Macaca fascicularis: one gene and its partners. The main gene of each other region encodes a partner of the protein of the gene in region 3 in a complex. Links are inferred from orthologs where the notes say so. Each region holds a gene or a part of one and is shown on either strand. Other genes may lie near its edges.

Region 1 (10,061 bases), on a different chromosome or scaffold from region 3:
GTCTGTCATGCTCCTGAATTTCCTTGGGTCCGAACTTAAGAGAACCCAGATAGTTATAGCACTAGGCTCTGGCAGTACTGGAAAGCCATAGTTGAGAGAAAGGCCATTCCCTTGTTTTATTTATTTATTTATTTAGAGACAGAGTCTCACTCTGTCATCCAGGCTGGTGTGCCGTGGCACGATCTTGGCTCACTGCAACCTCTGCCTCCTGGGTTCATGCGATTCTCGTGCCTCAGCCACCCAAGTAGGTAGGATTACAGGTGTATGCCACCATGCCAGGCTGATTTTTGTCTTTTAGTAGAGACAGGGTTATGCCATGTTGGCCAGGCTGGTCTCGAACTCCTGGCCTCAAGTGATCTGCCTGCCTCAGCCTCCCAAAGTGCTGGGATTACTGGCATGAGCCACTGTGCCCGGCCCATTCCCTTGTTTTAAAACAGACATGACTTGGAAATGGATTTACATACTGAATGAACGGTGACCTACTCCCTCTGTTCCCTGACCCCATGAAGTGGCAAAGTAGGACTACAAGGCCCAATCCAGAGGCTCTATTTGGTCATTTATCCAGCTTATGAATATTTACTGAATACTTGTACTGTGCCAGGTGTTATGATAGGTGTTTGGGGGAACAACATGAATTCTAAAAGAGAAACACACAGCTGACTTCAGTACCCATCTGGTTGGCATTAAGATAGAGGTAAGTAAAGCCACCCTGAACTCTCAGGTTGGGTACTGGGAGAACAGGCTGTGGCCCAACCTGGGGGTAGGGGGCAGTTCAGTGACTTCCTAGAGACAATGGCAGAGCCGAGTCTTAAAGAATAAAGAGTTAGTCATCTGTAAAGAGTAAGAAGAACCTTCTAAGCAGGGGGAACAACATGAGTCCCGAGGCGTGAAACAGCATGATGTGGCAGGAAACCAAAAACAGTCTGTTCCTCCTGAAACCTAACTTTTGAGGTACAGTGGTGGAGATGAGGCTGGTGAGCAATGCAGGGACTCAGTGTGGTAAACCCAGGAGTTTGAACTTGAATCTCCAGTATAAACAAATTGTAGGCGGTAGAGTGCCTTGGTCAGACCTGCATTTAAGACGGATCGGGGGCAAGGGGCAGTGGCTCACGACTGTTATCCCAAATCAGGCTGGCTTCTCTGAGACCGATGGAGTCATGGAAGCCAGTTAAGATGCTACTGCAGCTGTCGAGGTAAAAGCCATGAGCCTGAACATAGTTCGGTACCAGGGACAGAAATGGAGGGGGTGTGAAGAGCAAATTTAAGAACTGTTTTTAAGAGCTAAAATCAGAAACACTACATGATTTATTAATTATCACTTCATTTCTTAATATCCTTTGATAGCTCTACTACTGCCTACATACAACCTATAGCCAATAGGACTCGCAGTGGGTGGGTGGTGGCAGAGGTGGTAAAACAGAGGTGCTGAAGATGATTTTCAGTCAGAAGGAAAGAGCTGAAAGGGTGATCAGAGGAATAAAGGAATTTTTCCACTGCTACAACCTCCCAGAATCCCTTCCTCTATGCTTCCTAGAGCTGAAGACCTTCGCCACAGTGAAATAACTAGAAATCAGCAACATTCCTTTGTCCTTGGGCTAGAACAGGGGTCAGCAATCTGCTCCACAGCTTGTTTTTATAACTAAAGTTTTGCTGGAACATGGCTGTAGCCATTTGTTTATGTATCATCATCCATGGCTGCTGCTTGCTAAAATGACAGAGTAGTTGTGAAAGAAATCATATGGCTCACAAAGCCTACAACATATACTCTCTGGCACTTTATAGAAAAAGTTTGCGAACTCCTGAGCTAGAAAATTGATGGGAAAGGTTTAAGAAAAGATTCCTCTGACCCCAAATCTCCACATCCAGAGCACTTGGAGATCCAATAAGGCTAGTGGACTTAAAAAACAAATCAGTCATTCAGATGACGCCTTGGCGTAGAACTCTTTAACCTAACTGCTACTAAAGCCAAACTGAAATGCTCTCAGGAAAAGTATGTTTTAATGATGAGGGAAAGTAAGGAGACATTTAGAGCATCCGGCACCACTAGGGGATTTTTAGACAGTCTTGCTTGTTTGTTTGTTTCTGGACAGTTAGAGAATAGCTTCAATGATATATTTCATTGCGATATCACCGGGGCCTAAGGCTGCACTTCCTCCCCAAGGCCCAGCATTCTTCATTCAACTGGACTCATTCTTGCTCCTGAAATGCTCAGTGACAATGTGGAGAATGAAACCCTGATGACTGGGCTCTGTGACAACTCATAGAAAAATCGGGGGTTGGAAGGGGGTGGTATATTTTATAGGAAATGGTCCAACACCAGTAGTAGGAAGTGAACAGAAGGTGAGAACAGACTAGACCTATGTACGGCAGTGGCAATTAATAATACAACAGTTATAACATAATACATTTATTTCATTTGTCTTATAATGCATAATTGTTTCTTTTTTCAATTCAGGCAGTTTGAGGTATTTCCTGGTTTAGAGTCTTATCAGTCAAACCTAACATACTTTCTCGTTTTATGACTGCTGTATTAGGGTTCTCCAGAGAAACAGAACCAATAGGATACATCTCTCTCTTGAAAGATTCCTCAGAAGGTATTTGCTCTGTGATTATGGAGGCTGAGGAGTCCCATAATCTGCCCTCTGCTAGCTGGAGACCCAGGAAAGTTAGTGTTGGAGATCAAAGGGCTGAGAGCAGAGAGCTCAGGGTGTAGATGCCAGTCCAAGTCTGAAGGTCTGAGAACCAGGAGTGCTGAGGGCACAAGATCCATAGCCCAGATCAAGATTGAATTCACTCTTTGAATTCAAAGAGTGAATTCAATCTTCTTCTGCCACTTTGTTCTATTTAGGCCCTGAATGGATTGGATGATGCTCACCCACACTGGACCCACATCTACTTTACTGGGTTCACCAATTCAAAATGCTAACCTCTTCCAGAAACACCCTCACAGACACTCCAATAAAATGTTTAACTAGATATCTAGGAATCCTGTATCTTAGTCAAGTTGACATGAAATTAACCATCACAACTACATAATAAAAACCAATGATAATCAGCGTATCAGTAATTATGCAAAATAGTTAGATTCACCTTACCATAGACAACAACCTATTGATGGCTACTGCCCGCTGCTGGGCCTCTATATGAGGCATTTCATTCTGAATTACTTGGTCTGTGATTCCATGAGGGAACTGGTGACATAATTCTATAATCCTAGAAACAAGGGTATTAATGTTATCCTTCATGGTTACCTGTTTCAAGAGACAGTAGGGGTAAAAACACAAGTAAAATAGTTTGAAATTGTGCCTTTTTCACATTTGGAAGACAATCTGGGTTTCTGCGATGGTTTTGGATCAAAGCATTTTAGACACTGAAGAAGATGATTTCTAAATACATGATTACAGTATTATTGTTATTTAAGAAGAATATTTCTTTTCCTCACTAATAACTTTAAATTAGAGCAAAAGTCTAATGAAATCACAGAAATAATATTAAAGCTGAGACTTCAATTTTCTCAGGTGTAATAAGTATGACAAAGTTAAGCCATAAATCTGCAAGCAGGAGGCAAATGCAGACGTTTCTGGTGGGAAGCCAAAATTTATGATAATTCACCAAAATGGGGCCTGTTTTGGGAATTATATCTACCAAACAAAGTAGGTCAAAATCTTCACCTAGTCAACATCAACAAATTATTATTCCTAACAGTTTGAGAAAGTTACGTCTTTTAAAAGTACGTGATAATCTAAGAGTGGCAGTGCCTCGGTAAAAAATATAAAAGGCGGTGGTGGCTCACGCCTGTAATCCCAGCACTTTGGAAGGCCAAGGCGGGCGGATCACGAGGTCAGGAGATCGAGACCATCCTGGACAACATGGTGAAACACCGTCTCTACTAAACTACAAAAAATTAGCTGGGCGTGGTGGTGCGCGCCTGTAGTCCCAGCTACTCGGGAGGCTGAGGCAGGGGAATCGCTTGAACCCAGGAGGCGGACGTTGCAGGGAGGCGGAGCTTACAGTGAGCCGAGATCCTGCCACTGCACTCCAGCCTGGAAACAGAGCGAGACTCCGTCTCAAAAACAAACAAACAAATAAACAAATAAAAATAAAACTGGCAGAGGCTTTGGGTATCCTAAAAGTCTTGAGTTCAATACTGCACTGAAACTACCTGACTTAATGTTGCTTCCTAATCACCAACTGCGCCCTAACTCCGCCTAAACGTTTTGACATAGACGTTCCCTTCGTGACAAGAGCGATCCTGGATCAGAACAAGCATTCACAAGTGTTCTAAAGGGAAGGAAAGCTGAGGGTCTCCTCTCAAAGCAATGATCACGTCAAAGTAGGAAGGCAGCGCATCATCACAACTTCCCCAAAAGTATCAGGGCAAAGCGAGTCAGCTACACAAAGTTGCAAGCTGTCAAGCCCATTTTGAACTTCTTGAGTTCTGCTCTCCCAGGATGGGAGGTTAGAAGTGGATCCAGAACCTCGCAATCGTTTTCCCGCGTGCTCACCCAACCCGATCCGGCCACTCCCGAGGGATCCGGGTGAAGGGGTCCGGCTGCCCAAATGCTGGCCGCCTGATGGAGTCCCAAGCCGGAGTCTCACTGGTTTCCCTGTTTGGTTTACCTGTTTTCTATTTCGACCGGATCCGCGTCGGGCGGCTGCACCTTCACCTTCACCTCCGCCATGAGGGAGCAGTTCCTGACGCCTGGGGAAAAGATGCACGGAGCGGCCGGGTAGCAAGCGGGAGAACCCTGGGAACCAGTGAAGGATAGCGCTTAGCGGAGAACGAGGGGCTTTTTTCCTCGTGTCGCAGCGGTCCTTCCTTGCTTTTCGGCGGGAGGTGGCCAAGTCGCGCCTGCTCCGGTCCACTTACAGGCGCCGCTACAGCTTCTTATCCTTGTTTTTCAGAATGTCAATGCCCATCGGACGCACAAGCTTGGTTCCTTCATTCTGAGTTGGGAAGCCAACTTTTAGCACTTTGCAACTCTGTAAAGGAATATTCTTAGATGCCTATGGGAAAGCCCAGGGAAAGGAGCTCAAGGCGGGTTCCAGGCTCCCGGCGAGGCGGCAGGGGCGGGGCTAGTTGCTAAGAAGCTGCCTTGCCGCCAATCATCTGCCCAGCTCCAAGTGGGCGGGGCACGGCTCGCAGCGTCTGTGGTAACCCGAGCGGCGGCGAAGGAGGAGGCAAGAGGCGGTGAGAGGCCGGCGACTGGGTTGGGAACTGCAGAGATGGATTAGGGGTCCCGATCACGGGTCCCCCGGTTAGAGGAAGAGGAGGGCGGCTAGAGGAGGGGAAGAGCTTTCCTTACTCCAGCCGAAAGGATGCAGGTGTCCTTGGCAGCCCCTGACGGGCGGGGACAACCAAACGGGGTTCCGGATCCGGGTTGCGAGGGGACGGTCCACTTTGGGAGAGTTGAGGGGTCTGGGGATCCTGTGGATTGCTGCACGTTGCCATTTGGGCCTGGCGGATCCGCCTTTTTCTTGATTCCCTTTGCGTGGGGCCCACTGGCCACCCCAGCTTCGTAAGGGCAGCTGCTAGTTGATGCTCGCGAATTACCTCCTCTCCTACATATTTTTTATTTAGAAATAATTTTTCAACTATTTTTATTTTATCTGCCTTTCACTTGAATGGAAATGCGACTATAGGCAAGTCTCAAGTTCAGCTACACTCCTGTAGGAGCTATTGCTGTGCTGTCAGTATCTGCAGTTTATATTCTTGGCCCTCGATCTGGAACTATCCAACGAGGCATTAAGTTCACCCCTTAAATTAGTTACCCCACTTTTGAAAATACAGTCTGTGACAAAGCTCAAACTGCAGAGATGTCAGATCAGCATTATTAGAACTGCAGCAGGCGGCCGGGCACGGTGGCTCACGCCTGTAATCCCAGCACTTTGGGAAGCCGAGGCGGGCGGATCACGAGGTAAGGAAATCGAGACCATCCTGGCTAGCACGGTGAAACCCCGTCTATACTAAAAATACAAAAAAAAAAAAACAAAAAAAAAACCAAAAACAAACAAAAAAAAAATTAGCCGGGCGTGGTGGCGGGCGCCTGTAGTCCCAGCTACTCGGGAGGCTGAGGCAGGAGAATGGCGTGAACCCGGGAGGCGGAGCTTGCAGTGAGTCGAGATCGCGCCCCTGCACTCCAGCCTGGACGACAGAGAGAGACTCTGTCTCAAAAAAAAAAAAAAAAAAAAAAAAGGACAGCAACAGGCAAAACTAAAAAGAAACTAGAAATAGCCTAAAAGGCCAGCCCCAAATGGATAAATAAGTACATGGAAAACGAAATAATACAGTGAGAATGCAAGAAGTAGACTAGAAAAATGGAATGAATATGTAGATTATAATTGAGCAAAATCTGTGGATTCTTAATGAAATTTGAAAAGACAATACAGAGGTGTAAATGGTTGCTGTGTTAAGGAGAGCGTTTTTTCTCCCTGAAACCTTCTGTGCATTAAAAATTATGACGGCCTTCCTCCCCACCCTCACCTCCAAAAAGACTAGTAAGGCTTTCATACTGGTAGTTAATTATTAATACCAGGATTTATAAATACAGTAGATGGAATGGGAGGCTTGTGTTTATTGGTCACTGTTTATATTCTTGCAAATGTCCTTTTCACTAACAACTAATACTCTGCAGTCCTTCTAAAGTGTCTTTGCAGCTTTCAAATACTAGAACTGCTCTGGTGACAGTGGCAAGGCTGTGAACTTGGAGCTTTCCCAAAAAAGTTAGCTCTGACTAACGTTTTGTGGTACACACAGAGTTACTTTGGTTCCCCTTGTATGACGACTTGCCCTGAAGCCAAGAGAGGTGACACACACCAAAGGTAGGAAAAGGCGAGAATGATTTAGAGGGAACTGAAGTAAAAGCATTAGTGATAGTCTCTGTTTTCCTTACTCATTTAATTTACCCTTTTAAAGTAACTTCTTTCCCCCGTCTCGTGATTCATGCTCCTTTCTCGGAAGTGAGGTATTTAGATAATCGAAACCCCACACAAGACTTCAACAGCAAATACAGCCAAAATGTAAATATTATTTCAATTAAAAAGGGAATATTTGTAGTGCCATGTTAACAGTATTCTCTTGTGTTTTAACTAGTTTTGCTGCATTTAAATTAAGTGCTTCTCTTCAACTTTCGTGTACAGCTACAAGTGCACAGTGGAATTTATTTTTTTTCTATATATAAGGAGAGAAAATGACTGCTGGTTCAGTGTGTGTCCCTCAGATCATACCACTACGAGTGCCTCAGCCTGGAAAAGCTAACCATGAAATTGATAACAATACACTTTTGGAAATGAAATCAGGTAAGAATCACATATGTGTGAAATTGTTTAAAATAACATTGTCATATTTCTTGTGTTTATCTGGTTGCTGGTTTATCTCATTGCATGCTTTCTCACTCTTTGCTCAGCTCTTTGGGAAATTTGTAAAACTTCTAAAATTTGAAACAGTGCTGTACATTGATGGTTTATAGAGTGGTATACATTTAGATTAAAATGGTTAGCGTTGACCAACCTTTCATTTGTATAGTTTCAGCAATGTCTTGACTTACCTTAGCCAAAGTAAGATGTCCTGGTACTGGCCAGGGACAGAGTGGTTCATGCCTGTAATCCCAGCACTTTGGCAGGCCGAGGCAGGCGGATCACCTGAGGTCAGGAGTTCAAGACTAGCCTGGCCAACATGGCAAAACTCTGTCTCACTAAAAATACAATTATTAGCCAGGTATGGTGGTAGGCACCTGTAATCCCAGCAACTCAGGAGGCCGTGGCAGAAGAATCACTTGAACCTGGGCGGTGGAACTTGCAGTGAGCCAAGATCACACCAGTGCACTCCAGCCTGGGCAACAGAGCAAGACGAGACTCCGTCTCAAAAAAAAAAAAAAAAAAAAAAAACACCACGAAAAATTGCCCGGTGCTTCCCCAAACTTTTCCAACATGCTCAGTATTTAGCTGGCATAATAAATTTGACCTGCTAATACAGGCTTTCCAGTCAGACAGGTTGGAGACTTAATCCCTGCCTTGACAACTTCTAGTGACCTTGGGTACATTACTTAGTCTTTTCGAGTCTCAGTTTCCTCACTGTAAGACAGGGGTATTAATATCTACTTCTTAGAGCCATTGTGAGGATAAATAGGTTCGTGTATGTATGAGGTGCACAGGGTTTGGCATGTAGTAATGCCAAAATAAATCTCAACTGTAATTATGGAAATAAAGCAGTGAGGGCCGGGTGAGGTGGCTCATGCCTGTAATCCCAGCACTTTGGGAGGCCAAGGCGAGTGGATCACCTGAGGTCAGGAGCTCGAGACCAGCCTGACCAAAATGCTGAAACCCTGTCTCTACTAAAAATACAAAATTAGCCGGGCATGGTGGCCAATGCCTGTAATCCCAGCTACTCGGGAGGCTGAGGCAGGAAAATCGCTTGAACCCAGGAGGCGGAGGTTGCAGTGAGCCGAGATTGCGCCACTATACTCCAGCCTGGGTGACACAGTAAGACTCCATCTGAAAGAAGAAAGAAAGAGAGAAAGAAAGAAAGAAGTGAATGTATATCCTGCCAACATTTATTCTTCAAATTCTTAAATATGTGTGTATATGTACACATATACATATATACACATATACATATATAATTATGATAAGGAAGGAAAGTTTTATAGGTAAAACATATGAACAAATATTTGTGTAAAAAAGACTTTGAAATTACAATTTTTGTCTTTTAACCAATTATGTATTTTACTAACTGAAATATATAGAAACTATCTGCAGGCCGGGCACGGTGGCTCACGCCTGTAATCCCAGCACTTTGGGAGGCCGAGACGGGCGGATCACGAGGTCAGGAGATCGAGACCATCCTGGCTAACACGGTGAAACCCCGTCTCTACTAAAAAATACAAAAAACTAGCCGGGCGAGGTGGCGGGCGCCTGTAGTCCCAGCTACTCAGGAGGCTGAGGCAGGAGAATGGCGTGAACCCGGCAGGCGGAGCTTGCAGTGAGCTGAGATCCGGCCACCGCACTCCAGCCTGGGTGACAGAGCGAGACTCCGTTTCAAAAAAAAAAAAAGAAAAAAAAAAAAAAAACAAAACTATCTGCATTTATGGTATGGCCCCTATGCTGCTTAGACCAAGAGTTCTAAGAATATGTATTATTTTCTGTGTTCTCCTTTAGCTTAAAAGCTGATACAATTTTTTAAACTGTCAAACAAAATTAAACATTTTAATATATGTGCCCATAATTCTTAGGAGAAGTTGGGTGATTATTGACAAAAGATGATATGAATGATAGGGTATCAAAATTCCCTGATAGGTAAATATCAAATAAATAGTTTTCACAATTCAGTAACAAAAAGAACAATAACCCAAAAGAAAAATGGGCAAATGACATGAAAAGACCTTGTTTTGTTTTTTCTTTTACAACTTTTATTTTAGAACTGGGGGTACATGTGCAGGTTTCCTACCTGGGTATATTGTGTGGTGCTGAGGTTTGGGCCCATGACCCAGGCAGTGAGCATCGTTGTAGGTTTTCAGCCCTCCCCACCCTCTAGTAGTCCCCAATGTCTATTGTTACCATCTTTTTTTTTTTTTTTTGAAACGGACTCTCGCTCTGTTGCCCAGGCTGGAGTGCAGTGGCGCGATCTCGGCTCACTGCAAGCTCCGCCTCCCGGGTTCACGCCATTCTCCTGCCTCAGCCTCCCAAGTAGCTGGGACTACAGGCCCCCGCCACCACGCCCGGCTAATTTTTTGTATTTTTAGTAGAGACGGGGTTTCACTGTGTTAGCCAGGATGGTCTCGATCTCCTGATCTCCTGATCCGCCTGCCTCGGCCTCCCAAAGTGCTGGGATTACAGGCATGAGCCACCACGCCCAGCCTATTGTTACCATCTTTATGTCCATTTGTACCTGGTGTTTAGCTCCCATTTATAAGTGAGAACACATGGTATTTTGTTTTCTGTTCCTGTGTTAATTCACTTAGGATTATGACCTCCAACGGTATCCATGTTTCTGCAAACGACATGATTTCATTCTTTTTTATCACTGCATAGCATTCCATGGTGTGTATGTACCACATTTTCTT
Region 2 (9,939 bases), on a different chromosome or scaffold from region 3:
ATATTGTTCTACTATTTATTTTTAAAGCATCCTTATTGACTCTTAGGTATCTTGAATGCAATAGCTTGTCTTATCCCCTGATGATATTGATGATAGTTCCCCCACTCTCGAATTGCTTTATGCTGTTTAATAGTTGATATCATATTAGAGAATTTTCTCAGATTTTTTTTTATAATGCTTGGTTGCCTATTTAAGAGTTCGGGGGCATGAGTAAAAATGGCTATTGTCAAAAAGACAGAAAATAACAGATGCTGACAAGGATGTGGAGAAAGGGGAATGCTTGTACATTGGTTAGTGGGGATGTAAATTAGTACAGCAACTATTGAAAATAGTATGAAGGTTCCTCAACAAACTGAAAATAGAACTACCGTATGACCCAGCAATCCCACTGCTGGGTATATACATCCAAAAGAAAGGAAATCAGAATACTAAAGAGATAACTGCATTCCCATGTTTATTGCAGCAATATTTACAATAGCCAAGATGTGGAATCAACCTAACTGTCCATCAGCAGATGAATGGATAAAGACAGTGTGGGACAATATACACAGTGGAGTTATTCACTCATAAAAAATAATGAAATTCTGTCACTTGCAGCAACACGGATGGAACTGGAGGGCATTACCGTAAGTGAAATAAGTCAGGCACAAAATGACAAATACCTCATGTTCACACTCATATGTGGGAGGTAGTGCTAGTATGGTGGTTACCAGAGGCTGGAAAGGGTGGGGGAAGGGAATGAAGAGATTGGTTAATGGGTACAAAAATACAATTAGATAAAATAAATAAGTTCCAGCGTTTGATAGACTAGAATTAATAAGGATTTATTGTATGTTTAAAAATAGCTAGAAGATTTGGAATGTTTCTGACACAAAGAAATCATAAACGTTTGAAGGGTGGTGGATATTCTAAATAACCTGATTTGATCATTACATTGTATGCATTTATCAAAATATCACACGTACCTCACAAGTAATTACAACTATTAGGTATCAATTTAAAAAAAGAAGGGGGGACAAGAAGGCTGCTTGCAGCACATGCATGGGGCCTGGTGACTGAGGCTTCACAGTAGAGAAAGAGGCCAGGATTTCTTAGGTATTCCTCTACATTGGTATCTTCGTCTTTCCTCTAGGAGGCAGATTCCCTAGATAACATTTTTCTAATTTCCTACCTGGGTGGGGAAAGGCCTGGCTCTCATCCTTCTGGGAAACTAGTAGGACGGACACACACACACACAAACACACTCTTTCTTTCTCCTGTTTTCCATACTGAGCCCTTAAGCTCAATAGTAATTTGGCATCCTTCAATCAAGAAACTCCTTTGTTTTACTATCCCTAGAGAATAAACTAATTGGATGGGAGCGGGAGGGGCATTCACTAGAGTTTTAAGAGCTTCTTAAAAGGTTTTCAGGAAATTCTACTTACTCTTCTTCCCTTTGCCGCCACTGAGGTACTGCCTATTGCTAATTCCTGTGTTTTTTAAGGCTTCTGCGGTGGAAACTGAATTGGCTCTTAATTTCCCTTTGCTGGCATAGTATAAAACTGTTAACTTAGTCACCACATCTACTTTCTAGCATCCGAAACAGTTCCCCCAGCCAATGGGGATTTACATTTAAATCACGGTTTCTTTACAGTACATTAATGGTGCTTCGGAAGAGAGCCAAATTAGATGTGTCTGTTCAATTCACCACCTTCCTACAACCTGTTTTAGCCTCTGCAAATGACTTAAGTCCGCCTGAAATCACGCCTCTGAGATATCTTGGTGACACTGGGCATATGGTTTAAACATGTATGTAATAGGGATCACAATGCCAGAACTTTGTATCACTTTAGTGAAAAATGGGCAAAATGATGTTTGCCCACTCAAGAGGTATGTGCTATGTCAATTTAGGGTCTACTGCTATCTTAGAGGAAGATAACCATTTCACTATTAATAAGGCGAGTTGCTTTTTCATCCAGATAATGCACTGGATTATATGGCTATTCTCTCCTTGTCCCTCATTTACAAGTTGGCTTTTGGGTTAGAGATACAGTGCACAGATTTTTGCTTCTCCATGACAAGCAATCATCAATTCATTAAAGGAAATGTAATAAATGATTTCAGCTCCTTGCATTCTACCAAAGCAATGAATACTTTATGCTGTTCATGTGTGTAACTGTATACAAATTTTTAATACAAATATTTTATGTATCCTCCCAGGCATCTGGATTATGTTAACAGCAAGTTAGCAGGCCACATCATTCAGAAGATATGGGAAATTAATATTCTTGAGAAGAGAGGAAAGTAGACACTGCTTGAGAGGGTGGGGCATCCAGCTCCTCATGAAAAACAACTTTTGATAACACAGTACTATCACCTTCAAAGTGTCTGGTAAACATTAAGCTTTCTTTTCACCCTTTTAAAGGCTTAAAGTACCACACAAGTAGTTTGCAGGCCCCTTTCAGCTCCCAAAATGTTAGGATTCTACCATCAACTGGTAAACCTGGGTTCTAGTCCCAGCTCTTTCCGAGATGGGTGATGTGACCTCTTGCATGATACTCAGGCCTACATGGGTTCTTTCTTCATCTATAAAACAATCCCTATCATTCTTTCACCTTTGATTTCCCATTGCTGATACAGAATCAAAAGTCAATTTCAAAAGTAATTTATTCTTTTCAATAATTTAAGTATATTTTAATACTAATGTAAACATTTTTGGTCCGGGTGTCAGAATTTAGTCTGAATACCCATCAACTGCATGGAAATCTTACCCCTAAAAGTACCCATTTTTGTCAAGAAATACAGTAATTAGGTGTGACTTTAATGTAAATTAAAATTTAATGTACATGTACTTTCATCTCATATTGTCAGATAATGTAAGACTCCCATCTAAACCAGTTTTTTTTTTTTTTTTAATTTTAGATTTAAAACTTTAATGAAGACTTTTGTTGGGTGGGGTTGAGGTACAGAATCTTGCAATTTTTTTTTTTTTAGCACCGATAAGTAATACAATATAATACTGCAATTTTTAAAATATCTCAAATGAGTAAGATGTCATCTGTGAGATAAACTGATTTTTGTAAAATATTTCATTATTTGCCATATTGTTTGGTCATAAAGTGAGCTTCACTATACTGCAGCAACTGGCTTTTTCTACTATATAGAGGCATGTTTTAATAAACCAAATTGGTAATTAAAATAGTCTCACACTAAAGGAAAGAAGGGGCCTTTCACATTCTACTCAGAATTATCATCATATATTTATGAGGTAGGATTTATGTACGTTCTGCATGCCTTGATCTATTGTGCCTAGATTCATATCCTAGCTTTTATCATGATCTGTCTCAGGCAAGCCATTTAACTGGGAGGTCAGTGGCCTCACTTTAAATGTGTTGTGAGGATAAAATGAAATCAAAAGTATACTAAAAAGAAAATAGAAAACTAATATACCAAATATTGCTGATGTGGCAAATTAGCTCAATTATTTAAGTCCTTGCGTAGGGAAATGGGCTGAGGCCCTAATCTATTTATTTTCATCCCATGGATTTCTCTCTGAATTCCATATTTGTCTTTCACAGAGCCAAAGAGGACCATGGCTACCTATGCATTAGTCCACATAATTTACCTCTACCGAAAATTACTTCCTTATTGATCTTTCTCAGGCTTTGCTTTCAGCCGGACCAGATACCTGTCATAAAGTTATTCTACGTTTATGATTACTATTAAGCTTTTGCAATCGTGAGTCAACATCAAGAACAGAAACCTATCTGAGAGGTTTCCAATCGCATTAGCGGATTGGAATCGCTGCTCTGATGACTTTCTAAGGCTACAGGTGGGAACTGCCCATACCCGGTGGTGACCAAGCTGATGAAGTCTGCAGTTCTCAAAAGCACAGATCATGACATGCACTCCCCGTGGGGCGTCATTCCTTAAAAGTCTACTCACTACGAAAGCTCCTGGAAATGTCGGGTAGGTGCTTAGGGAAAGAATAAGAAATCCCTAGTCAGTCACAAGTCTCTGTAGTGTTACTACTACAGCCGACTCAGGAAACTGGCTAGGGAGGGGTAGTGCCGGCTTTCAAAGAAGTACTCAGAATTGCTATACGGTGCCAGAGCTGGCCTCTGGCAGGGAAGGCTGTGATGGCTTTGGCTCTGGTCAAGTAGGTTTTTACTTAGGGAAGGGTGTAACAGAAGTGGTTCCGCGAGGTGCCAAAATAATCCCCTTTATGGCCACGCAAGTCTGCAACATGCGGCACTCGGACAGTCTCTTCCCAATACCCTCCCTTAACGAGAGCGCGCGCCCGCGGGGGCCCATTACCATCCTGCAGGATGAGGGTGGGCTGCACCGCCTGTACCCGGAACTGTCTGGCCCTCCAGCCGGGGCTGGGCGCCCGCACCACCTCGCTATCGGAGAGCCAGGTCACGGTCTCAAAGTTGTCCCCGCGAGCCAGCGCCTCGGCCTCGGCGTGGTGCACGGCCACCCGGTCGAACTGGTAGAGGCCGCCGGAGTGGTCGAAGTGCACGTGGGTGGCCACGGCAAGCAGCGGCCGGCGCGCCGCGTCCTCTTTGGCCCCGCGGTCCTGCAAGAGGCCGGAAGAGTACAGGTACTCAGGGAGGCTGCGCAGCCCCAGGCCTGTATCGATCACCACGTCCTGCTCGGAGCCGCGCACCAGCCAGATGTTGGCACGGTTGCCCGACTCGTAGAAGCGTTCTTGAATCCAGAAAATACCATCGCCTAGAGACTTGTGGGCGTACCACTCGAGCGCCGACATGCTGGGCAGGGATGCAGCCAGGCGGGGTGAGTGTGGGCGTGCGAGTCTCCCACAGGCTGTGTAAACACCGGGCGCTGCGGCTGTGTGGAGCCGTCTGCCTGCAGCCAGGGAGGAGGCGTTGAGTGAGGCGGGGGCGGGGGATGCGGGAGTCAGAATAGGAGGAGGAAGGACGCAGACCGACGCTGCCAGTAGCGTGCGCTCTCGTACCCTCCCGCCAGGTCGGCAGCAAGCAGAGACTGCGCCACCAGCACGGGGGCGCAGGAGCTACAGCAGCCTCGGCAGGCGCACCACGAGGGAGCTGTAACGCAGGGACCACTGCAGCAGAATGGAGACTCAGGTGGTGACCCTTTCGCCACCCCGGGCGTGTGACAGCAGAGGCCCGGAGCAAGGGTGGGAAGCGCTAGGACCGCCCACCCACTGGCTCCCCACAGCGCGCACTCCTAGCTGGCGCGGAAAGTGTGGGGCCTAGCAGGTTGTACGGAGCCTACGGAGCCTGCCAAGGGCAAAAAAGCTCTTTGCCGAGGGGGTGGGGCCTGCCTAGGGAGTGGGCGGGGCTAGTTGGTAGGGCTCACGCCGCGGTCCTGGGGCCGCGTGGAGGGCGGTGCGAGTTTCTCCTGAGGTGGAACGAACGGCACTCGAGCGCCGGTGTTCTCTGCCAGCACCCCTTACTTGCCGGCCGGCGCTTCGGCTGCAGAGTTTTGCCCAAGCTTCGAGACTTAGGGAACAGGTAACCGAGGAAGCAATCGAAGACTTGGGAGGGGTGGTGAGGGTAGAGGGGAGTTAAAGGGGCATGTGGAGAAGTTGTGGGGGAAGTCGGGGGTAGAGATTCATTAAAGCGCCTCTGGGTTGAGGGGTGTTTGGAGATAGCTTGGTACCTCCCCTCCTTGTCCTGCTCCCTTCAGAATTTTTTTAAGTCGAATTTCCAGATCTTACCCAGTCTCCACTCCTGGGACTGTTTGCAGTGAGTTAGAAGGGTATTTATGCTCTTACTGATAGTAGGTTATTTTCCAAATCCAGTGACTTTATGATTTGTTGAGGCACTAGTCATTGCCGCAGATTGCAGCTAAGGACCGACTGTTCAGTATCTGTTTTCGTAACTGTTGGCATTTTATATCGTAGGGAAGGAAGTTGTTAATATGGTTTGTCTTTTCTTCTAAAAAATAAAATTCTGTATCCACCCTCTTTTTTTTTTTTTTTTGATTTGGTCTGTCCTTGGAAGAGAGAAACGCGAGTTGGTAGAAAGGCTCAAATAGAGAAAAGGAGCACCTGGTAAGGACGGGAAAAGTGAATAATGACTGGGTGTGGCCCCGCCAGCCTCTTAAATCATCCGCTCTGTTAACATCAGGTCACTGTCTCCACTCCCCACTTCCCAGCTATTGAAGCATCTATTTAGGTTTTTTTTTTGTTTTTTGTTTTTTTGAGACAGAGTCTCTATTGCCCAGGCTGGAGTGCAGTGGCGCAATCTCGTCTCACTGCAACCTCCGCCTCCTGGGTTCAAGCGATTCTCCTGCCTCAGCCTCCCAAGGAGCTGAGATTACAGGCGCCCGCCACCGCACCCGGCTAATTTTGTATTTTTAGTAGAAATGGGGTTTCACTATGTTGACCAGGCTGGTCTTGAACTCCTGACCTCAAGTGATCCGCCTGCCTCGGCCTCCCAAAGTGCTGGGATTACAGGCGTGAGCCACTGTACCCGGCCAGAAACATCTATTTAGGCTTAAGAAATTCCCTTGAGAACTTGACTAACCTCCCAACTTAGCCAGGAAAAATGATAAGGAGACTCATGAGACAGCATTACAAAAGAATTATGAAAACCGTTACTGTGACAACTACTAATAAGCCTTCATGGAAGGAGAGGTATACGCTCTTTTGCTACCCTCCTGAAGTCTTTGGTGGGCATGCAGCTTTTCTAAATACTTTGCTAATCTTGGTAGAGATTATTCGGTTACTCAGTTGGGGGCTATCCTTATGCACAAGTCGCTGAGCTAGATAATTCATGAGAGAATTGTGTAAAAAGGTCATAATCTGGATTCTCAGGAGTTTGAAGGAAGATAATGTCTGTACACAATTACTTGGAAGATAAAGCATTACAGGGTATGTACCACAGAGACAGTAAAAACTAGATTCAATAAGAATACAGATGGAAGGGATTCTTGAGGAGTGGCTTTTGAGCTGGCCTTAAAAGACTACTTTTAGGGCATTCTCAGCAGAGTAATATAGGGCCCTCAGTAGTCTGGGTACTTTTTCTCTAGGCAGAAGTGAGCCACTAGTGGTGAAATGGAGTGATATCTCTACCAGGCCATGAGCTCAGCAATAATTTGCACAATAATCATTGGCCTTTTGCCGGGCTTTGGTTAGTAATGGGGACATAAAAAGGAGAATAAGTTTCCAAGGAGACTTTCACACTTCCAGGTCCCTCTGCCTGCATCCCACATCTCACTGGATATCCTTTTTTAATTCTTTGCATGGCTCTTTGCTTTACTTTTGTCAGGCTTATGCTCAGATATCACTGAATAAGAGAAGACTTCTTCAGCCACCTTTTCCACAATAGCATCCATGTTTCCTGTCTTTATTTTTCTTCTTGTCACTTCCTGACTTTCCTATAAAATATATTTTGTCAGTTTCTTACCTCAGACTCTGAGCTTCATGAGAGGAGAGATTTTGTTTTGCTCACTACTGTATTCCCAATTCATAGAAGACAGCCTGATGATGAGGGTGCTTAATAAATACTTGATTGGATTGAAGAGCCTCCCTGGGAGACAGATAAGAGCTGACAGTTACAACATGATTGTAAAAAGGGCTTAAAAGCAGAGTAGTACTTGGGAAACAGAGAAGGGAGAGGCCTATCTCCATGTAGGGTGGAAGAAATTGTCATGGAGAAAGTGTTATTTGCATGGCATCTGAAAAGAACCTGGGGCTTAGGTGGATGTGGCAGGAAGGGCACTCCAGGCATGCACTGGTTGATTTGGCCACAGCGTGGGGTGCATGTAGTGAGAGGCAGAAAGACTCCAAAGCTCTTTTAAGGAGAGTCACATGTCAAGATTTGTATTCCAGAAAGATACCCTAGACTGCAGAGTGGATTGAAAGGGAGAGTCTGGCCACAGGAAGTTTATTTGTTCTGTTTTAGAGGTCCAGGTGAAAGATGAGAGGGTCTGAACTGAAGCAGAGGTGGAAGAAACGGAACATGGGAGAGAGAACAGAGCTGGTAAACCTCTACTTTTAGATGGGGGATTGGAAGTAGACAGGTCAGGATACCTATCCTGATTGTAGCAATTTAGGGGTCATTCATCAGGAATAATACTGTGACTTAACTTTCACTGCCTCCTCTAGCTTCTGTGTCTGCTTCTATCTGTTTGTGCATTTATTGATGGAGCTGATGTTGTTACTGGTGGAGGGTGTCCAGGTTCTTGGCATCTTGAACAAAGAATTGGACAAAATGCACAAAGCAAAGAAAGAATGAAGCAACGAAAGCAGATATTTGTTGAAAATGAAAGTACACTCCAGTGAAGGAGTGGGTGGAGCATATGGGCTCAAGGGTCCCCTTACAGAATTTGTGGGGGTTTAAATACCCTCTAGGGTTTCCATTTAGTTACTTGGTGTACACCATGTAAACGAAGAGGATGAAGTAAAGTTACAAAGTCATTTACTTGGCATATGCCCTATGAAGAGGGTATTTCCTGTCATAGCTGAAGTGTGAATCAGCCTTTTTGTTCCCTGCCTCCAGACCCTGTTTTCCTGCCTCAGTGTATACAAGGAACTGTGTAAAACGTGGAGGACAAGACATTTCGGTTACATCATAACTCATAAAATGTTAGAACTAGGAGGAATTTCAGAGATTAGCTCAGCATCTGCTAGGGGTTGTTTTTGTAGTTGATTAAAATTGACTTTTTTATTTCATCTCTTGGATGCTTAAACTATACCCATTTTTAAGCCTCTCAGAACAATTCTGAATAGGAATTTTCAGGAGACATCCTGAAATGGAAGGGGCAATGCTACTGATTTTACATTTTTAATTGAGTCTGTTTTGCAGTTATTAATTCACTTCATTGAATAAAGACCTCCCTGGGATTAAAAAAGTCTTCTAACCAGCCTAGACTATGCTTCCTGAAGTGTAATGCAAATGAAAGAATAGTGGAAAGGTTTTCTGAGGCCTTAAAGCTGTCCTGCTTTTGTTAGGAATTAGCTTTGCATCCTTAGGTAATCAAGTAACCGCTTAGGGTGTCACTTTCCTTTTCTGTAAAATGGGAGGTTTAATCTGCAGTGGTTCTTTTTTTTTTTGAGACAGAGTCTTGCTCTGTCACCCAGGCTGGAGTGCAGTGGTGTGATCTGGGCTCACTGCAAGCTCCACCTCCCGGGTTCACGCCGTTCTCCTGCCTCAGCCTCCCAAGTAGCTGGGACTACAGCCGCCCGCCACCACGCCCGGCTAATTTTTTGTATTTTTAGTAGAGACGGGGTTTCACCGTGTTAGCCAGGATGGTCTTGATCTCCTGACCTCGTGATCCACCCTCCTCGGCCTCCCAAAGTGCTGGGATTACAGGCGTGAGCCACCGTGCCCGGATTTATTTATTTTTTTTTGAGAGGGAGTCTCACTCTGTCACCCAGGCTGGAGTTCAGCGGCGCAATCTCAGCTCACTGCCATCTCCACCTCCCGGATTCAAGTGATTCTCCTGCCTCAGCCTTCTGAATAGCTGGGACTACAGGCGTGTACTACCATGCCCAGCTAAGCCTGTAATCCCAGCACTTTGGGAGGCCGAGGCGGGCAGATCAGGAGATCAAGAGATCGAGGTCATCCTGGCCAACATGATGAAACCCCGTCTCTACTAAAAATGCAGTGGTTCTTAATTTGGGTTGCACACTGTAATCTCCTGGAATGCTTTAAAAAGTCCTGATGCTTAAATAGTACCTCTAGAGCTTCTGATTTTATTGTTCTGGGGTGAATCCTGGGTTTTCTTTTCTTTAAAACCTCCCAGTGATTCCAGTGTGCAGGTAGGTCCCACTCAAAGAAAGGGGGAAAAAAGCCTTAATAATGGGCTAACTGAATTGTACTTCTGTGGGTAGATTTGCTCCTCAAATCACAGTGCACAAATAGGGTAAGCTTGACATTAATTGTGGAGTTGTTGCTATATAGGAAGCACTGTGCTAGACAGTAGGGAGGATAAAATCTCTACTTAATAGACAGTAGGGAGGATAAA
Region 3 (10,130 bases):
TCCCAAGTAGCTGGCACTACAGGTGGGTGCCACTACACCCTAAAATTATATATTCTTATGTACTACCTGTGTGTGCGTGTGTGTGTGTGTGTGTGTGTACGGAGTCAATAAATTTCAAAGTCAATAAAAGTTCTTTTTTTTTTTTGAAACGGAGTCTTCCTCTGTCTCCCAGGCTGGAGTGCAGTGGCGCGATCTCGGCTCACTGCAACATCCGCCTCCCGGATTCAACCTATTCTCCTGCCTCAGCCTCCCAAGTAGCTGGGATTACAGGCGCATGCCACCACGCCCAGCTAATTTTTGTATTTTTAGTAGAGATGGGTTTTCACCATGTTGGTCAGGCTAGTCTCGAACTCCTGACCTTGTGATCCGCCCACCTTGGCCTCCCAAAGTGCTGGGATTATAGGTGTGAGCCACTGCGCCCAGCCTGTTTGTTTGTTTGTTTTCAGATGGAGTTTTGCTCTTGTCGCCCAGGCTGGAGTGCAATGGCGCAATCTTGGCGCACTGCAATCTCCTTCTCCTGGGTTCAAGCGATTCTCCGGCCTCAACCTCCCAAGTAGCTGGGATTACTGATGCCCGCCACCACGCCTGGCTAATTTTTGTACTTTTAGTAGAGACAGGGTTTCACCATGTTGGCCAGGCTGGTCTCGAACTCCTGACCTCAGGTGATCCACCCGCCTCAGCCTCCCAAAGTGCTGGCATTACAGGCATGAGCCACCACACCTAGCCAATAAAAGTTCTTTAAATTCCAACAGTAGAGCAAACTTGGTATTCAGATTCCTTCCAGGCTTTGACAATGAGTGCACATGAGGGCCACTGCTGTGAGCCCAGGATGGGTGTGACTAGGCACCGGTTGACCCATTGTGGCTGTTCCAAGGCTGCCCACATAGCCTCACCCAGGACTCCATCAAAAGCCCACAATGTGTGTATATGTGTATACATTTGATTATTGTATATACACACATTCTTAGTGTTGATGTATTTCAGCACAATCTTTTTTATTTTTTTTTGTGGAGTTTGTTTGTTTTTGGTGTTTTGAGACAGACTGTCCCCCTGTCGCCCAGGTTGGAGTGCAACGGCGTGATCTCAGCTCACTGCAACCTCCGCCTCCCCGGTTCAAGCGATTCTCGTGCCTCAGCCTCCCAAGTAGCTGGAATTATGGGCATGCACCATCACACCCAGCTAATTTTTGTATTTTTAGTAGAGACGGGGTTTCGCCATGTTGGCCAGCTGGTCTGGAACTCCTGACCTCAAGTGATCTGCCCACCTTGGCCTTCCAAAGTGCTGGGATTACTGGTGTGAGCCACCAGGCCCGGCCGCACAATCCTTTTTGAAAGCAATTTAGCAATATGAATGAAGAACCATAAAATGTGCACGTACAAAATGGTACAGCCACTGTGGAAAACAGCTTGGCAGTTTCTTGTAAAACTAAGATACAACTACCACATGACCCAATGATTGCACTCATGGGCAATTATCCCAGAGAAATAAAAACTTATGTTCACACAAAATCTTGTACATGTATTTTCACAGCAGCTTTATCCATAATAACCCCACACGGAAAACCACCCAGATGTCTTTCAGAGGGTGAATGGTTAAACAAACCATGAATACTTTGCAATAAAAGGGAACGAACTATTGATACACGCAACAACTTGGATGATCTCCGGGGAACAATGCCGAGTGAAAAAAGCAATCCCAAGAAGTCACATACTGTACGATTCCATTTATATAACACTTTTGAAATACCAAAATGGCAGAAATGGAAAACAGATTAGTGGTGGGAGGAGGTGGGGGGAGGGAAGTGTGGCTATAAAAGGGCAGCTAGAGGAATCCTTGTGATGGTAACTTCTTGTATCTTGACTGCACCAATGTCAATATTCTGATGGCAAGATGTTACTACTGGGGGAAAATGAATAAACAATACTTGGGATCTCTCTACATGGTTTCTTATAACTCTACATGAATCTACCATGTTCTCAAAATAAAAAGTTTAATTTAAAAAATGTTTTTAGAGATAGGGTCTTGCTGTGTCACCCAGGCTGGAGTGTGGGGGCTGGATCGTAGCTCACTGCAATCTCGAACTGCTGAGCCTTTCAAGCGATCCTCCCACCTCCGCCTCCCAAAGCACTGGGATTACAAGCGTAAGCCACCAAGCCCATCCCAAATATTTACTTTAAAAAAAAAAAAAAAAAAAAAAAAAACAAAAAACAAAAAAAAAACCCACCTTCTTTTGGCCAGTTATCCCAGGACGGGAAATCTATCCCAGGAATATAATCCGAAAGAAAACAAAAACCAAAACAAAATTGAAAAAAAGCACGTCGAATGTACCAGATATTCACTACAGCATTATTTAAAACAGGGAAAAAAGAAACAATCAGGGAAATACTTAAATCATGATACAGCCACTGGAGAACTATGCAGTCTTTGATGCCGTAACAGAGAAATGTTATTTGAAAAAGCAGGATACAGGCCAGGCGCAGTGGCTGACGCCTGTAACCCCAGCACATTGGGAGGCCGAGGCGGGTGGCATCACTCGAGCTCAGGAGTTCAAGACCAGTGTGAGCAACACAGTGAAATCCCGTCTCTACCAAAAATACAAAAAAAAAAAAAAAAGAAAAAAGAAAAAGAAAAAGAAAAAAGAAAAAAAAAATTAGCCGGGCGTGGTGGCATGTATTTAGAGTCCCAGCTACTTGGGAGGCTGAGGTGGGAGCATGGCTTGAGGCTGGGAGGCAGAGGTTGCAGTATGCAGAAACCTCGCCTCAAAAAAAGAAAAGAAAAAGGATACGAAATTGTGATACAACTCTGTGAAGACTACTAGACACATTACAAAATTTTTAATAGTAGTACTCTACGTGGCATTCTGGTAGAAACGATTTCCTTTCCTCAAACTCCCCGTAATAATGTTTTTATACGGTCTGGGGGGATGGGAGATAACATTAAACGACACTTTTTATATCACAAACGCTGGAGTCAATAAAAGTTCTTTAAATTCCTCCAGCAGTAGAGCAAACTTGGTATTCCGATTCTGTCCAGGCTTTGACCAAGAGCGCACCCGAGGGCCACCGCCTTCGTGATCCCAAGCGGGTGTGACTGGGCACCAGTTGGTCCACTGCGGCTGTTCCAACGCTGCCCTCACAGCCTCACCCCAGGACTCCACCAGGAGCACAGGGAAGGGGTCCCCGAGAGTGGGCGAGGTCGCTGCCCGGAGGTAGTGACCACTCCAAGGTCACCATGGAGAACCCGCAGACAGGGCTCGGCACGGCCCAAGACTCCCCGACTCTAAGTCCAGGTCTCGCTCTCTGTGCCGCGCCCCTCGTCCCATCCCGAGCAGCTACCCCCAAGCTCCCAGGGGCTCCGCCGAGGCGAAGCCTCACATTGCGGCTTGGCGGCCGACAAGACCCGCGACCCTGATCTCGGCACCTCCACGCCACCGCCCGGGGGCCAAGACCCCCGAGCACCGCCACATAGCGTAGCCCAGACCGGTTCCCTCATCCTTTTTCGCCCTCTCAACCCAGCTTTTCCCGACTCCGGGAAGAACCGGGAAGAGAAGGCGGAGGGGAGCGAAGCGCCGCCTGATAAATACTGTGGCCCAGTCCCGCCCCCGAAACGTCACATCCGGCCCGTGCCAAGATGGCAGCGCCCAGGCGGTGCCACGCAGACTTCCGCCCGGTGCGGAGACCTAAAGCTGGCAGCGGGTCGCGTCGCAGGTGAAGTGGTGACGCGCGGTGTGGAGCCGCGGCCCGGGTGCGTCCCTGCCTGGTTCCTGGGCGGGGTTCCTGGAGAGAGGGCGTGTCGCGAGCCAAAGGCTCTCACCTGGGTGGTCCCGGGAATCTCGCCACGTGGGAGGGGAGGAGCTGAGAGGCCACTGGAGGGACGCACCGACTGGGGGACCGGAAAGCAAGGGGGTTGGGTTCCGCCAGGGTCCGCGTGTCAGTCCACTCTGGTAATCTCGTCCCCCCTTCTCTCCCAGGCAACATGTCGGAAGGAAACGCCGCCGGCGAGCCCAGCACTCCGGGAGGGCCCCGACCCCTCCTGACTGGGGCCCGGGGGCTCATCGGGCGGCGGCCGGCGCCTCCCCTCACCCCCGGCCGCCTTCCCTCCATCCGTTCCAGGGACCTCACCCTCGGGGGAGTCAAGAAGGTATCCAACGGCGCGTTTCTAAAGAAACTCAACTACCTTGAATTCCAAGCCCCGGCATTCAACTGATGTTTGTGTAGGGCCTACTATGTGTCAGGAGTGTCGTTGGGCCTCAAGCCTACCCCTCTTTAAATTCTAGGGAGCCTGTCCTATCTTCAAATCTAGGTACTGAGTACAAAATGTTGAAATGAGTCCCAGAGGTGGTTGAAAGACAGAGAATCCTAATAAGTTAAAGTCGTTCAAAAGTAATTTGAACAGTGTTTATTTACTCTTATTGTGTGTTTGGACATTTTTAAGAAACCCATGAAAGCCAGGCAGGCATAAACTTCACAGTCTTAGAGCGTTCAGAATTCACCATCTCAGTGTGCAAACTTGTTATCTAGAGTATCATGAATCCTAGGCATGGCATTCGAGGCTCTGTGGGCTGTCCCATGTGTATATGACTGTGGATGTCAAGAGTAGCCCAGAAAGGGGTGGTGTCAGGATGACAGAAGAATAAAGCAGGTTTTTGGGTTTTTTTTTTGAGACGAAGTCTCGCCCTAGTCCCCCAAACTGGAGTGTAATGGCATGATCTTGGCTCACTGCAACCTCTGCCTCCCGGGTTTGAGTGATTCTCCTGCCTCAGCCTCCTGAGTAGCTGGGATTACAGGTGCCCGCCACCATGTCCAGCTGATTTTTGTATTTTTAGTAGACACAAGGTTTCACCATGTTGGCCAGGCTGTTCTTGAACCCCTGACCTTGTGATCCACCCACCTCGGCCTCCCAAAGTGCTGGGATTACAGGCGTGAGCCACCGCTCCCGGCCAAATAAAGCAGTTTTTTTTGTTTGTTTGTTTTGTTTTTAACAGAGTCTCTTTCTGTCGCCCAGGCTGTAGCACAGAGGCACCATCTCAGCTCACTGCAACCTCCACCTCCTGGGGTTCAAGCGATTCTCCTCCCTCAGCCTCCCGAGTAGCTGGGATTACAGAGGCCTGCCACCGCACCTGGCTAATTTTTGTAGTTTTTAGTAGAGACGGGGTTTCACCATCTTGGCCAGGCTGATCTTGAACTCCTGACCTCATGATCCACCTGCCTTGGCCTCCCAAAGTGCTGCGATTACAGGCGTGAGCCACCACGCCTGGACATAAAGCAGTCTTTAGAAACCTAACTTTGCCTTGGAAAATATGGAAAAACACTGCCAACAGTGATTGAGAGTATTGGCAGATCTGTGGCCTTCCCTACTTAGGCCTTGCTGCTAGAGATGTTCCCCCATGATACTGACTGGTCTCTATAGCAGTTTGAAGATAAGAGGTGAGACCAGAGAAATTCCTTTGCTTTTAGAAGTCCCAGAGGACCTTCTTTCAGGATCTTCTTTCCTAAGGCTGCTGGTTAAAAATGGTTTTTGGTGCCCCTTTCTTCTATGCATAACTCCACTGCCACCACACCATGACGTTCCTCCTTTTCAGGCACACGTGTATCTAGAAAACTGACAGCACTGTGGAATGTGCCAAAGAGAGTCATGGTGGCCGTGGTCTGTAGAAGATGCCCGTTGGGAGTTTTTATTTTCCTCTGTACTTTGGGATCAGGACCTAACACATCAGTGACTCCTGTATTTTGCTTTCAGAAAACCTTCACCCCAAATATCATCAGTCGGAAGATCAAGGAAGAGTAAGTAGCTAGTCCTTCTGAATACTTGCCCCTTATTTACTTGCTCTGAATTTGGGGCTTTGGGGAGAAATAAGTAGGTTTGTGGCTCCAAAATTTAAATTTATATCTTTAGTTCTTTTCACTAGTGATTTTCAACCCTGGCTCCTAGGTGATTCTAATGTTTAAGCTTTAAAAAAAAAAAATACTGGTGTCTAGGGTTCCATCTCTAGAAATTGTGATTTAACTTGTTGGCAGTAGAATGGAGTGATTCTCTTTGATGGCCCGAGTTGAGAGCCAATAGTTTAAACAAAGATGTATCACGCTTTCCCTGAAGTTCCTTTGCATTTCTGCCTTCCTGCTTTCAGTCCCAATGCAAACAAAAATCTACATTTTTGGACAAGAACGTAAAGTAAAGCAAACTGAAAAAATCCTGCCTCATCAAGGAAGTGAGAAAAGTGCTAGAATTAGGATTGGATTCTGCTTCTCATGGTGTAATTATTGGCTCAAACTCTCCGCTGTCTTGGAGTGAAGTGGTATGGGAGAGTAAGGCCAGTTTTTGGAGACACAGTGAGTGAGTGGTTTCCCTTAATCCATTCTTTTTTCCAGGCCCAAGGAAGAAGTAACTGTCAAGAAGGAGAAGCGTGAAAGGGACAGAGACCGACAGCGAGAGGGGCATGGACGAGGACGAGGCCGCCCAGAAGTGATCCAGTCTCACTCCATCTTTGAGCAGGGCCCAGCCGAAATGATGAAGAAAAAAGGTACAAGGAAGGAATCAGTGAATTTCAGTTCAGACTGCCCAAGAGAAGGGCGAGAGCAGTGGAATTTCCCCGCTCCCAGTTCAGTTTTCCTTGCTGTTGGCATCTTCCTTATTGATCCCTAGTGACCTGGGTGATTTCCCACAGGGAACTGGGATAAGACAGTGGATGTATCAGACATGGGACCTTCTCATATCATCAACATCAAAAAAGAGAAGAGAGAGACAGACGAAGAAACTAAACAGATCTTGCGCATGCTGGAGAAGGACGATGTGGGTACCAGGAGGCTGTGGGGAAGGGGCTTCCTTGTGGCTGTAGAACAGGGCTTCTGGGGAGCCAGGTGAGGGGCAGAAGAGCTCACTGATGTCCTGGAATCCTGGGGAGCAGCAGGAATCTTTGGTTAGAAAGGGACTAAAGCAGACTTTGATCCAGGTGCATGTGCTAGCAGGCTGGATGACCCAGACTCTTTTTGGCAGTTCCTCGATGACCCCGGGCTGAGGAACGACACTCGAAATATGCCTGTGCAGCTGCCGCTGGCTCACTCGGGGTGGCTTTTTAAGGAAGAAAATGACGAACCAGATGTTAAACCTTGGCTGACTGGCCCCAAGGAAGAAGACATGGAGGTGGACGTACCTGCTGTGAAAGGTACTCTTGTCAGTTAACTTCTCATCTCCAATTCCATGGCTGCTCCCCAGGAATCCTGTGCATCAGGCATCCTTTGCATGTGTCCCTGACTGCTGCTCATGAGCAGGTCCTCCCATCCCGGCTGTAAGATACATGAGCTGAACAAAGATGCCCGATTCTCCCTCGCAGAGGGTTCCTGTGTTGGCATGGAGCGGTGGGCCCAGCCTCAGATGTCGCTTTTTAGATAAGTCAGGCGAGATTTAAACATGTTGTCTCTTGCCCCTCTCTATAACCAGTGCCCCCTTCCCACTCCCTGGCTGAGTGACAGTGGAGCAGACGGGGGCAAAGGGCTGGTAACAGTGAGCTAGTATGGAGGGTGGTCATGTGATAGCATTCCATTTCTATCACCCGGGCAGTGAAAGAGGAGCCACGAGATGAGGAAGAGGCCAAGATGAAGGCTCCCCCCAAAGCAGCCAGGAAGACCCCAGGCCTCCCAAAGGATGTATCCGTGGCAGAGCTGCTCAGGGAGCTGAGCCTCACCAAGGAGGAGGAACTGCTGTTTCTGCAGCTGCCAGACACCCTCCCTGGCCAGCCGCCCACCCAGGACATCAAGCCCATCAAGACAGAGGTGCAGGGTGAGGATGGACAGATGATGCTCATCAAGCAGGAGAAAGACCGGGTATGCTCAGGCAGAGGCCTGTGGGATAGAGTCGGGGACTAAGAGGGGAAGTGGTGACCTGTAGTGGGAAGCAAAGCCGTGCCACCCTGGCTGAAATGGGACAATAATGGGTGGTTTTTCTTGATGCCTGCAAGAGCCATGGGTCTTTGTACCTCCAACCCCAATTGTGTGTGTGTGTTGCAGGGATGTGTGTTCACTTCTTATAAGGAAATATTTCAAAGACATACAAATGAGAGAACAGGCCGGGCGCGGTGGCTCAAGCCTGTAATCCCAGCACTTTGGGAGGCTGGGACGGGCGGATCACGAGGTCAGGAGATTGAGACCATCCTGGCTAACACGGTGAAACCCCGTCTCTACTAAAAAAAAACAAAAAACTAGCCGGGTGAGGTGGTGGGTGCCTGTAGTCCCAGCTACTCGGGAGGCTGAGGCAGGAGAATGGCGGGAACCCGGGAGGCGGAGCTTGCAGTGAGCTGAGATCCGGCCACAGTACTCCAGCCTGGGTGACAGAGCGAGACTCCGTCTCAAAAAAAAAAAAAAAAAAAAAAACAAATGAGAGAACATATGGCCAGGTGCGGTGGCTCATGCCTCTAATCCTAGCACTTTGGAAGGGCAAGACGGGAGGATCACTTGAGCCCAGGAGATCGGGACTGGCCTGGGCAACATGGTGGCACCATGGCTAATACAAAAACTAGCCAGGCATGGTGGCGTGTGCCTGTAGTCCCTGCTACTTGGGAGGCTAAGGTGGGGGGATGGCTTGAGCCCAGGAAGCAGAGGTTGCAGTGAGCCAAGATCGCGCCACCACACCCCAATCTGGGTGACACAGTCAGACCTTGTCTCAAAAAAAAATGAGAACATAAACTGCCATGTACCAGAACTCAGCTTCAGCAGTTACTGATATTTTGTCCGTTTATGTATTTGTTTGCTATGGGTTTTGTATTTTAACCATAGCCGACAGCCCTAGGAGAAGGCACTCTTTGGGGAGCTCATTCTGACCTTTGCTGTGCCTTACTCTTAGGGAGTAGAAGGGGGTTCATGAAAGATGGAGGAAAGAGCTCCTAGCCCAGTGTCCATCTTCTGGTTTTCTGCGCAGGAAGCCAAGCTGGCAGAGAATGCTTGTACCCTGGCTGACCTGACAGAGGGTCAGGTTGGCAAGCTACTCATCCGCAAGTCTGGAAGGGTGCAACTCCTCCTGGGCAAGGTGACTCTGGACGTGACCATGGGAACAGCCTGCTCCTTCTTGCAGGTAAGAGCCTCCTTAGGGCAAGGGAGGGACCCTTTAAGGAGTGGAGGAGGATTGAAGAGCCAGTGCTAAATAAGGGAGGGGGTTTCTGGGAGTATCATGTCCCCATTCACAGCTCTACACGCTGGGCACGTGGTGGTGGTTCTCATCACTGTCTCTGTCCATTGGCAGGAGCTGGTGTCCGTGGGCCTTGGAGACAGTAGGACAGGGGAGATGACAGTCCTGGGACACGTGAAGCACAAACTTGTATGTTCCCCCGATTTTGAATCCCTCTTGGATCACAAACACCGGTAAAATGAGCAGATGGAGGAGGACGGTGCCTGTGCCCACGGCTGCTGCCTGCTCCAGACATTTTGTTCTTGAATCTGTGAGACCCAGAAGGGGCCCACTGAGCCCACCCACTCCAGCCTTTGGCAGCCATTGTCCCAGGTCCCCCAGGGCTTCCTCCCATAGCAGCTGTAAATGGCACAGTGAACCTTCCTGCAGCATGGAGATGGCACATCCTTGCTGCTGGGGACTTGGCCCTGCTATTTATTTTTGTATTTATGTCTTAATCTCATCCACTGATGCATCCTCCCAAGGTAGGTGGGGAGGGTCTGTGGGTAGGGGCTGGCTTCTCTTGGTGCCTGCTGGGCCGCCGGGGCAGGAAGTGTGAGAACTGCAGCCTCTACTGGTGCTCCCTCCTTCCTCCCGGAGGCAGCAGAGGAGAGAGAGCAAGGATTGAGTCTGAAACTTAAGCTCTCGGTCCATGCTGGCCAGTTCCTGGTTCTGTGTCCTTGGACAAACTACCTAACCTTTCTGAGCCTCCTATTCCTCATCCGACACAAATGGGGATGATACCTACCTTCCAGGGTTTGGGTGAGGATTCATGGGCTGTTATAGATGAATACTGCACAAGGCCACGCACAAGGCCAGAACCAGCAGGCACTCAATAAATATTCATGTCCTTTTTCTCTACCTGAGTCTATTTTCAAACAAAATAGAGATTTCAGGTCTCCCAGAGGCAGTGACTAGAGCTCTCCCGTCCCCACTCTTGCCCCTTCCTGTTTTATATCCTGTCCTCACCCTGG

The links.
Region 1: POLR3D (region 3) and POLR3F share a complex: the UniProt entries of both Homo sapiens proteins name them as parts of the RNA polymerase III complex. The link is inferred for Macaca fascicularis from reciprocal best matches to the Homo sapiens genes POLR3D and POLR3F.
Region 2: POLR3D (region 3) and POLR3G share a complex: the UniProt entries of both Homo sapiens proteins name them as parts of the RNA polymerase III complex. The link is inferred for Macaca fascicularis from reciprocal best matches to the Homo sapiens genes POLR3D and POLR3G.

Annotation. Positions count from the first base shown.
Region 1 is NC_088384.1:68,816,223-68,826,283, forward strand, and holds the start of POLR3F (DNA-directed RNA polymerase III subunit RPC6), read right to left. Parts: upstream 4,793-10,061; 5' UTR 4,683-4,792; coding exon 4,621-4,682; intron 3,214-4,620; coding exon 3,096-3,213; intron 1-3,095. Other genes in the region: DZANK1 (double zinc ribbon and ankyrin repeat-containing protein 1), read left to right, coding at 7,191-7,299. UniProt on the Homo sapiens protein: DNA-dependent RNA polymerase catalyzes the transcription of DNA into RNA using the four ribonucleoside triphosphates as substrates.
Region 2 is NC_088380.1:94,473,510-94,483,448, forward strand, and holds the start of POLR3G (DNA-directed RNA polymerase III subunit RPC7), read left to right. Parts: upstream 1-3,820; 5' UTR 3,821-3,948; intron 3,949-4,296; coding exon of another isoform or gene 4,297-4,750; exon of another isoform or gene 4,751-4,846; intron 4,847-4,953; exon of another isoform or gene 4,954-5,477; intron 5,478-5,969; exon of another isoform or gene 5,970-6,019; intron 6,020-7,879; exon of another isoform or gene 7,880-7,952; intron 7,953-9,939. Other genes in the region: acyl-coenzyme A thioesterase MBLAC2, read right to left, coding at 4,297-4,750. UniProt on the Homo sapiens protein: DNA-dependent RNA polymerase catalyzes the transcription of DNA into RNA using the four ribonucleoside triphosphates as substrates.
Region 3 is NC_088382.1:25,313,738-25,323,867, forward strand, and holds POLR3D (DNA-directed RNA polymerase III subunit RPC4), read left to right. Parts: upstream 1-3,622; 5' UTR 3,623-3,707; exon of another isoform or gene 3,708-3,744; intron 3,745-3,970; 5' UTR 3,971-3,975; coding exon 3,976-4,140; intron 4,141-5,739; coding exon 5,740-5,783; intron 5,784-6,368; coding exon 6,369-6,520; intron 6,521-6,664; coding exon 6,665-6,789; intron 6,790-6,993; coding exon 6,994-7,162; intron 7,163-7,557; coding exon 7,558-7,820; intron 7,821-8,910; coding exon 8,911-9,063; intron 9,064-9,231; coding exon 9,232-9,354; 3' UTR 9,355-10,017; downstream 10,018-10,130. UniProt on the Homo sapiens protein: DNA-dependent RNA polymerase catalyzes the transcription of DNA into RNA using the four ribonucleoside triphosphates as substrates.